2 linked regions of the Callithrix jacchus genome follow. The protein of the gene in region 2 interacts with the protein of the main gene of each other region in a biochemical or structural test. Links are inferred from orthologs where the notes say so. Each region holds a gene or a part of one and is shown on either strand. Other genes may lie near its edges. The genes, in order: ASB7 and PSRC1.

Region 1 (4,302 bases), on a different chromosome or scaffold from region 2:
GAGATACTGTATGTGTCACAGTATTAAATAATTGTAAATGACATCACTTTATGTATAAAGAATATAAGTACTGGCCTCGGTATACTAAAGATGCATCATTGAATATCTTCAATTAAAATCAATTATTCTCCCTACGTGATTATAAATCTGTATTTGGTGACCAAATAAATTGGATTTTCTTTTTAAACCACATAATTGGCAACAGAATCAACAAAAGCTAACTGCCAGATTAAAAAATGTAAGCTACCTAACTAGTCGTGTTGGTAAATACCCAAATTCAATATTGTAAATGTCTGGCATAATCTAGAACAAACACTCTCAATCATTCTAATATTAGAAACATTACAGATGCTGATGATTTATATATATTCTCTCATTTTAGAAAAACCATTAAAAGATGAGATGATCCACGAAATACCATTTAAGCAACGAGAATGAACTGGCTGAGAGCCAGGGTAAAGCCTCATCCTCTCTTACCTTATATGCTGGACTAGCCACAGACTCCCTCCCTTACCATCTCAGGTGAAACCACCCCTTAAAAATGAAACCATCCTAGAGTTAAATCTAAAGCAGAAAAAAATATTTAACTGAGAGGCTTGAATACAAAACACAGTACTTGATTTTTTATCTTTAAAACATACTTCAAATATTTTAGCATTTTTTAGAAGTTCTGAAGTAATCATTAGGCCATCTCCCTGGCAACTTCCATACTTACATAATAAAATTAGCCTTTAAAGGTTTCTGCCTAGCTTTTACTGAAATGATGTAGTCAAGTACTCCCGATTCCCTACATACACATACAAAGGCTGCCCTAAGTTTTCACCAGGGAACGGTAACTGGTACATATTGATTCTAAATCCTGTTCTGTAGAATCTCTTCTTTTGGCATCCAGTTCCCTGTCTCAAGAATACGTATACCTCAGATCCCCTTAAAAGCATCTTTAGCTATGTCTTGAGAATTAACAAAATCAGTAAAGATACTAATTTCTTTTTGTGGAGGGCAGAAAGTCCAGAGGAACATAGGAAAACAAAAATATTCATTTCTGCTATTTTAAGTACTTCCCTGTAACAAAAATTCCCTAAACAATCTGGGATATTAAAATAGATTAACACATCACTTTATACTTTTGCTACTGGATGTTAGAAAAGTCATTCATTTGGCTAATTTTGGAGTTAAACTTTGTATAATTTCCACGCTTATATTCCCTCTTTAGGAATTACACTAATGTCCTAAGCTTACCTTCAGTGCATTTTCAGAAGCAGCAACAAAATATGGCAGCAGAAATGTGATCACATGAATTAGATGCTTAAACTTCAACCTAGCAAACTCTATGTAAGGGTTTTGAAATGAGAAATCTTTTCTTATAGAATGCTAAAATTAAGAGCCAGATATGTAAACACACCAAAAGGTTCCTTTGTTTTTAAATCCGTGAGAGTCAGACGATCAATAAGATATTGTGTAAACTTTTTAAAGTTCTTCTAGAAAATCTGAGGTGTAACTTACAAGTTTCAAAGCCCAGCCACTTTGTGACACACAAAAACACAAAAAGCCAAAAGAGTTAATTACACTTAAATGCTTCAGGGTAATAAGGTTGCCTTTATACCATTCACACTCTTAAGGCACACAGGTTCGCTTTTTAGCAGGAAATAAAATCAATTTTCTGACACTCATAAATCTCAAGCCATTAATTTACCTTCCTCTACCAAATCATTGTCAACTCCCTAACTCAAAAGATTTTTCTGATGCAGGTAGAAGAAAGGTGATAGGAAAAAGTAAGGGGGGGAAACAGTAAATTATGGTTTAATTAAAAGGGAGAGTCATTCAGAATTAACAAGCAATTAACAAAGAATTGAGGAATTCCTATGAGAGTAAGGAAGGGGGGTAGCTATAAAAAGGTCTCAAAGTCTCAGAGCAAAGTAAATGGCACAGTGTACCAAAAGACAACGCAAAACACCGAAACACTGCACAGAGAGAAAGTGGGAAAATACGTTCCTGGGGCAGATTAGTTATAAAATGTTAAAGATCAGGCACGAGTAATGTTTTTGCTTTTCCTGGGAAACTGAGGGAGGGGTTGGGTTAGGAAAGGTTGCATTCCCAGGCAACCACCCTGAAAATAAAGCACTGCCTAATGAGGTAGGGGCCAGGAATAAACAATGGGGGAGGGGAAGGCTGGCTCATTACCTATATAGACGATGCTGATCAGAGGCAATGTCCCTTCTGCTTCCCTGGTAAGTGGGTAGACCCCTTCCTGCTTTCGCGTCTTCTTCAGCCAGCTCAAACCTAGAAAAACAGAAACCAGTAAGTGGTGCAGTGTCTCAGGGGTGAGGAGGGGGCTCTGAAGAAGGGGGAGCTCAGGAAAGCGACTGGAGAGTGGCAAGGGCAGGCAAGAAAAAGCAGATATTTTCTTCCCTCCCAGCCAGCTCTCTTCCCCTTGGGGGAGGTATCTGACTTTACCTGTCTCCTCAGCTGCTGCTTCTCTTCCTCCTTTTAGCCTCCTCCACACTCACCAACTTCTCCATTGAAGAAATACCCAAGGCAGGGCCGGACCCTGGTGTTCCAGATCCTCCTCGGTGCTTCACGGCCCCAGCCCGGCGAGCATCCAAACAGCCGAGCAGGCAGGAGGTGGCGGTCCCGGCCTCCGGGCAGCCTCGGGGCAGGGGTGTAGGGAGGCAGGGAGGAAGTCCCGGCTCCGGTGGGGGGGGCAGTCCCGGTCCAGGGCTCGGAACTAAGGGCTGCCGCGCTCCGGGCCGGAGGCTTCCAGCTACGGAAGGACCCAGGAGGTCTCGGGACAGCAAGGTCCTAGGTCATACGAGGTCCGAAGTGCCAGCCGTGGGGTCTCCGGACAGGGGGCTTTCGGGATGCACTTTGCACTGGGCCACCCCCGCCCCCTCCCTCCAGCACTTTGGGGTCACTGGGATGGGACCAAGCCTTCAGCAACCAATCAGCGGCCGCAGTGGATCCTGAGCCTGGAGCCGTAAACCAGGTCCGGGGTGGGTGGGGGTGGGGGGAGTGGGGGCGACTTAGTTGGTTGGTTGCTTCCCTCTCTCCTCCTTACCCCCAGCAGCCCCCACCTTCTGCCTGCCGTAAAGCTGCCCCTGCATTCGCGACAGTTAAGGGAGACGTGCCGACCGGGACTGAGGCTCGTCTCCGATTGGTCCATTCACTTACCCCCACGGCCTCCCTGTGGTGGCTTCCGAGGCTCCGCCCCTGACGAGGGACTCAAAACGGTTGCTAAGAGACACTGTACGCCGAACGCGGTCTCTGCGCATGCGGGAGGAGGGATCAGCGTGTACTTTCTGTGAACTACGGTGGCCCAGAGAGGGCTGGTGTGTTCTCTCGAATGGCGGTGTGAAGAGAGTTTGTCTGAGCCAGATCCCAGGCAGGTAACCCGGAGCAGCCGCTGAGCTCGGCGGCCGGGGAGGCGTGAGTGCAGCCAAATGAGGGCCTGGTCCAGGGCTTAAGGTTGGGAGGGCGGCAGGCTCAAAGAAGCGAAGAGAGGGGTGCCTCTTTCTCTGCTCCCGCTCAGCGCTTGTCAGACGCAAGTGCCCGGTCCTTGGCGCGTCTGTCTGTCCCTGAGACCCCGTTAGCTTCCAGGCTGGGAATCCCTCGCCTAGAGTGGGAGAAGGGACTCTCTTTGGGATGGCGACGCCGGTCCAAGGGCTTCCCTGAAGGGATAGCAACGTTGGCGGGTTCCTGAAAATGAATGGAGAGGGGGCGTGGGGAAAATGCGAGATAGACTGATCATGACACGTTTATTAAGCGCATTTATTCATCTCGCAAGTGTTTTCCTGGCCCGTGTTCTACTCCTTGAGGAGACAACAATGAACAAGATCGTGATTTCCGGGGAGACAAACACAAAATTATGAGATAGGGATGGGTTATATGAGGAAAATCAAGCAGAATGGTGGGATCGATTTTGACCAGGACGTGATGGGCTATAGCATATTAGATAGGTAGTGCTATGGTGTGAATATCTGTTCCCTCCGAACTCACGTGTAATCCCCAGTGTGGCAGTACTGAGGGGTAGAGTCTTTAAGAGGTGGTTGGATCATGAGGGTTCTGTCTTCATGAGGGGATTCATCTATTAATGGATTATCATGGAGGTAGAACTGGTGGCTTTATGAGGAGAGACCTGATAATGAGCCTGCTCAGCCTCTGATCACACGATACTTTGCAGTGCTGCCTCCTGACACCAGGTGTGGTCTGTCAGTCTTGAGAGTTCCCAGCCTCCAATACTGTAGACGATAAATTATTTTTCTTTATAAATTACCAAGTTTTAGGAATTATTTCATAAGCAACAGA
Region 2 (4,479 bases):
CAGCAGAGTTCAAGCTCCTCAGGGTGGGAAGAAATGGGACCCCCCCCGCTTTCCCTGCCCCCAGCTTCCCTCCTCTCTCAATCTTTCCATGCAAAATTTAGGGCTAATGTGTATAACAGTTTAGGATCCCAGATGATGGCGGGGTAGGGAGACAGGACGGACAAGGGAGGACCAGACTGACCTGGTAAGTCCTGGGACTGCCACTTTCCTGGGGGGCTGCACATTGCTGCGAGTGGCACCCATGACAGGAAGATTTAGTCGCTGGGAAACAGGAACTTCATGGGAGTTAACAAAGGAAATAAGTTAGCAGCAAGTTTAATTGACCTCAAAAAGGAATACTGGATGAAGGGAGTGAGTGTGGGATTAGTGCTCTCCCCTCAACCATGATGTATTTGGAAACTAAGACTTAGACTCTGTCCAGCCCCATATCCTCTCTGTAACTCAGCCTCCCCATCTTCCAACTGAATTGCAATGAGGATGGCAAAAGTGGTCACTGTTGCCAGCTCTGGGAGAGTGAGGACATGCCGGGCAAGGGCAGGTATTCCTCCTTCTGATCTCTTACCCTTGTGTCCACTTTCCTTCACTCTGTGTCCTGCGGCGCTTGGTCTTGGAAGCCCTTTTCGAGTTGACAGAGAATCCGGAGGTAGGGCACCTCTGCCAGGTGGTACACTCCGGCTGGTGAGTGGCATTCGGCTGGCAGGTCTGGGGATGGCCGAGGGAATGGGCAGTTGACTGGAAGATTTAGCAGCTGCTCCCTGTGGCCGGGGCAGGCGTTGAGAGTTACTGGTAGAAGGCTGTGGGGCCAGGACGGGTCTGATGGGGGTAGGTGGACCTGGTGGAGAGGAGTAGAGAAATTTCAGAGTCAGTCCCACAAACTCCCCACTCCCACCCACCCGCAACTTGGCTGCTCAGGTCTCCTCACTAGCTGCTGCTCTCCCACTGGGCCCAGCTTTCCCTTGGCCTGGGGGCGTCGATCGGGTAAGAGGAGAAGATGCTGGGCTTTTGGATGCAGGGAACAGACTGCAAGTGGGTGACTCCTGAAACACAAAGAGAGAGGAAAAAAAGACTAGAGTGGAGAAAATATCTGTTCTGTGGCTTAAGGAATTAAGAACTAGAGGTGGAGCGTTGTTTAGATCCCAGTAAGGAAGGGTAGATGTTTGCTAACATCACCGTCACCATCACTATTGCCAATACCATTAATGGAGTTTATTATAGACATTACAGGGCTTATACTCAGAAACTATGATAAGAGTTTTTGTTCTCTTTGTTTATGGTTCTCATTTAATTCCAACAATTCTAGATGAAGAAATACTATCCCCATTTTACCAGTAAGGAAACCATTCTCTGCCTGCATCATGGCATGCGCTATGTCTGGGGCGCACCTCCAACTCGGTCCTCTCAACTCACCCTCTTCATGTTGGAGGGCCTCTTTCCAGGCGTTGCCCGAAGAACCCTGACTGACCCCTTCCTATCACTGCTCCGGAGTCGAGGCGTCAGGCTGCTTGGGGAGGGGGTGCTCCGAGCCAAAGAGTTCACAGTGGGCAGCAGGTCTCGGACAGGACTGTCCTTGAGCACAAAGGTCTCCCGCCGAGGACTGGGCTTCACTCGGCGAGGCCCCAGGCCCTCGCCCGTGCTCTCCCGCTCCTGCAGGGCACACCGCTCCAGCTGGGCGGCCAGCCGGTTGGCCTCATCGAGGATCTCCTCCAGCTTCTCTGGGCTGAGGGGGCCTAGGCTGAACCTCACATCCTGGGGAGCAGAAGCCACTGTATTTGGGTCACTTCGGTGCGAGAGGCCCCGTCGAAGTGGTTTCTCTGGAGTCACCAACACTGTTACGTCTTCCTCCTCACGGCTGGGACAGGAAACGAACCAGGCATCATGCCCATGCAAAAGACAGCAGAAGACTACGCAAGGTAGACTGGGCAAAAGCCCCACAACAGAGCCAGGGACACAACCCCATGCCCTGATGCCCGTGCTGCTTGTGAGATGTGGCCTCTGGGTGATGAGATACCTGGTTCTATGGGGCCTAATAGGCCTTTCGCATTTACTGACACCAGAAATGATGCCAGGATGGAGATGCAGCAAATCCACTTACCCTTCTTAACACCCTGAAATCTAACTCCAGCTTCTCGCTTCTCTCCCCACTACCAATAGTGTCATAGAGGCCCGAGTCAACCAGCCACCCAGCGGCCCCGAGTGCACGAAACCTTGCTAAATTGCCAACCCAAGTTCCAGAGGCCAGTAACTCAGCAGTAAAGGGACAGAGACAAAGAAGTGCTGTTAGAGGAAAGTAAGTGGCACAAAGAGGCTGGTACCTGTCGGATGGTGACAGCCCCCCAAAGTCCAAGGTCTCATCCACAATAAATTTTACATCTGAAGGGGAAAGAAGAATGAAGGCCAGTCATGGGTCCCTGATGCAGCTCTCCATTACTGGGTCTCACTCCTCCCTCCCTCCTTTCCTTACCTTCCTCCAAATCCTCCATGTTCAGCCAGCAGGAGCGAAAGTCCACTTAGACCTGAGCTGGAGAGAAACCATACCTTTCCTGAGGTATCCATCCTGCCCAGGGATTGCAGCTATATTCACGCCAGCGGCACAGGTCATGCTGGAGGCAAAGCAAGCACCCAGGAGTGGCACCTGCCGCGTAACTACCCCTGCTATCTCCGGGTAAAGTGCGGAGGGCTCCCCCCACCGCCCAGATTGCCCTGGAGCCGCCCCTCACCCTGTTCTCTCCTCACTGGGAGGTTCTGAACGCCCCATCTTCCTCCCCGCCACTATCCTCAGGGTTCTTCACCCCCCAAGCCACGTTTCCACTTCCCTGACACCACACGCAAAGCACACCTCCAGCACACCCTGTTTCCACTTCCCGCGCCGCCTTGTCTTCCACGCAAGAGTCTTCCCCCAGCAACCTAGTCCCGGGAATCTGCTCCGAGGGGGCGGGGCTCCTTTCGAATCTCTCAGGCCCCACCCACTCAAGCCATACACGCACCGTGATTGGTGGATCTTCAGGGGGCGGGGCTGTGGAGCTGCCGGCAGGAAGTCCGCGGGTGGGGGCCGGAGGAGAACCGTTCCCAGAAGACTCCAATCCCGGAGGCTGAGGCGGAGCCTAGGGTTGAGGCCCGGAGTGCGCGTGCTGGCGTACCTGGAGACCCTCTTTCCCGCTGGCAGGTGGGAGCCGGGCGCGGCTGGCCGGGAGGGGAATAACGGACCCACGAGTGTGGCCCTCGCGCCCCGCCCTCCTCTTGCTGCTGGGCCACGGAGCCTCCAGTCTCCAGAGCGATTGTGCTGCTTAAACCGACGCTCGGCGGGAGGAAATTAGTTTTCTTGGGCGCACTCAATATGCAGGCGCCGCGTTGGCCCGGGGTCGTCAGTTGTGGTTTTTTCCAAGTTAAGGAAGCACCTGAACACTTACATTGTAGACATATTGGGGTTCTCTAAGAAGTACATCCTCCATCGCCTCTTTAAGAACCTGACGCAGCCGAGGTGTAAAGAAAGCAACGGGCTTTTCACCCAGACAGGCTTGGGTTCAAATTCAACCCAAGTTTAACTGACCTCAAAACCCCAGTTTCGCTTTAGAGAGTCTGCCTTGAGTATATATCTGCCCTCTTTTCGTGAAAAGAGGATGGTGATCCTCGCAGTTAAGATGGATGTTAGGATAATCATGAAGATGTTTTCTACTGTGTGCCCTTAAGGAATTTAGAGGGGGCGTTTGTAAGTAGCCCCCTCTGAAATAAAAGCTGTGTTTGTAAAATGCTTAAGCCAGCTTGTTAGGAGTGTTGTCTCTGTTGTTGCTAAAAGGGGCCTGTGCCACCAGTGAACTTGTCAGAGACTTCGAACCAGAGCGACTCCATCTTGAATAGGGGCTGGGTAAAATAAGGCTGAGACCTACTGGGCTGCATTCCCAGGAGGTTAGGCATTCTCAGTCACAGGATAAGATAGGAGGTTGGCACAAGATACAGGTCACAAAGTCTCTGCTGATGAAACGGGTTGCAGTAAAGAAGCTGACTAAAACCCACCAAAACCAAGATGGCGATGGCGATGAGAGTGACCTCTAGTCATTCTCACTGCTGCACACCCACTGGCGCCATTACAGTTTACAAATGGCATCACAACGTCGATATTACCCTATAAAGTCTACAAAGAGAAGGCATGAATAAACCATCCCTTATTTAGCAGATAATCAAGAAACAACCATAAAAATGGGCAACCAGCAGCCCTCGGGGCTACTCTGCCTAGGGAGTAGATACTGTTTTCTTTCTTAATAAACTTGCTTTCACTTTATGGACTTGCCCTGAATTATTTCTTGTGCAAGGGCCAATAACCCTCTCTTGGGGTCTGGATCCTGACCCCTTTCTGGTAACAGTGAGATAGCAGGTCCACACAAGTTACAGATCACTAAGACCCCTCTAATAAAACAATATGCAGTAAAGAAGCCAGCCAAAATCTGCCAGAAACCAAGATGGTAAAGAAAGTGAACGCTGCTC

What was found.
Region 1: of the proteins of PSRC1 (region 2) and ASB7, one has a biochemical effect on the other in vitro, tested with the Homo sapiens proteins (2 studies listed by BioGRID, with this or other methods). The link is inferred for Callithrix jacchus from reciprocal best matches to the Homo sapiens genes PSRC1 and ASB7.

What each region holds. Positions count from the first base shown.
Region 1 is NC_133507.1:9,369,422-9,373,723, forward strand, and holds the start of ASB7 (ankyrin repeat and SOCS box protein 7), read right to left. Parts: upstream 2,897-4,302; 5' UTR 2,455-2,896; intron 2,281-2,454; 5' UTR 2,182-2,280; intron 1-2,181. UniProt on the Homo sapiens protein: Probable substrate-recognition component of a SCF-like ECS (Elongin-Cullin-SOCS-box protein) E3 ubiquitin-protein ligase complex which mediates the ubiquitination and subsequent proteasomal degradation of target proteins.
Region 2 is NC_133508.1:147,161,555-147,166,033, forward strand, and holds the start of PSRC1 (proline/serine-rich coiled-coil protein 1), read right to left. Parts: upstream 2,892-4,479; 5' UTR 2,481-2,891; coding exon 2,462-2,480; intron 2,371-2,461; coding exon 2,313-2,370; intron 1,850-2,312; coding exon 1,408-1,849; intron 1,038-1,407; coding exon 923-1,037; intron 833-922; coding exon 563-832; intron 276-562; coding exon 182-275; intron 1-181. UniProt on the Homo sapiens protein: Required for normal progression through mitosis. Required for normal congress of chromosomes at the metaphase plate, and for normal rate of chromosomal segregation during anaphase. Plays a role in the regulation of mitotic spindle dynamics.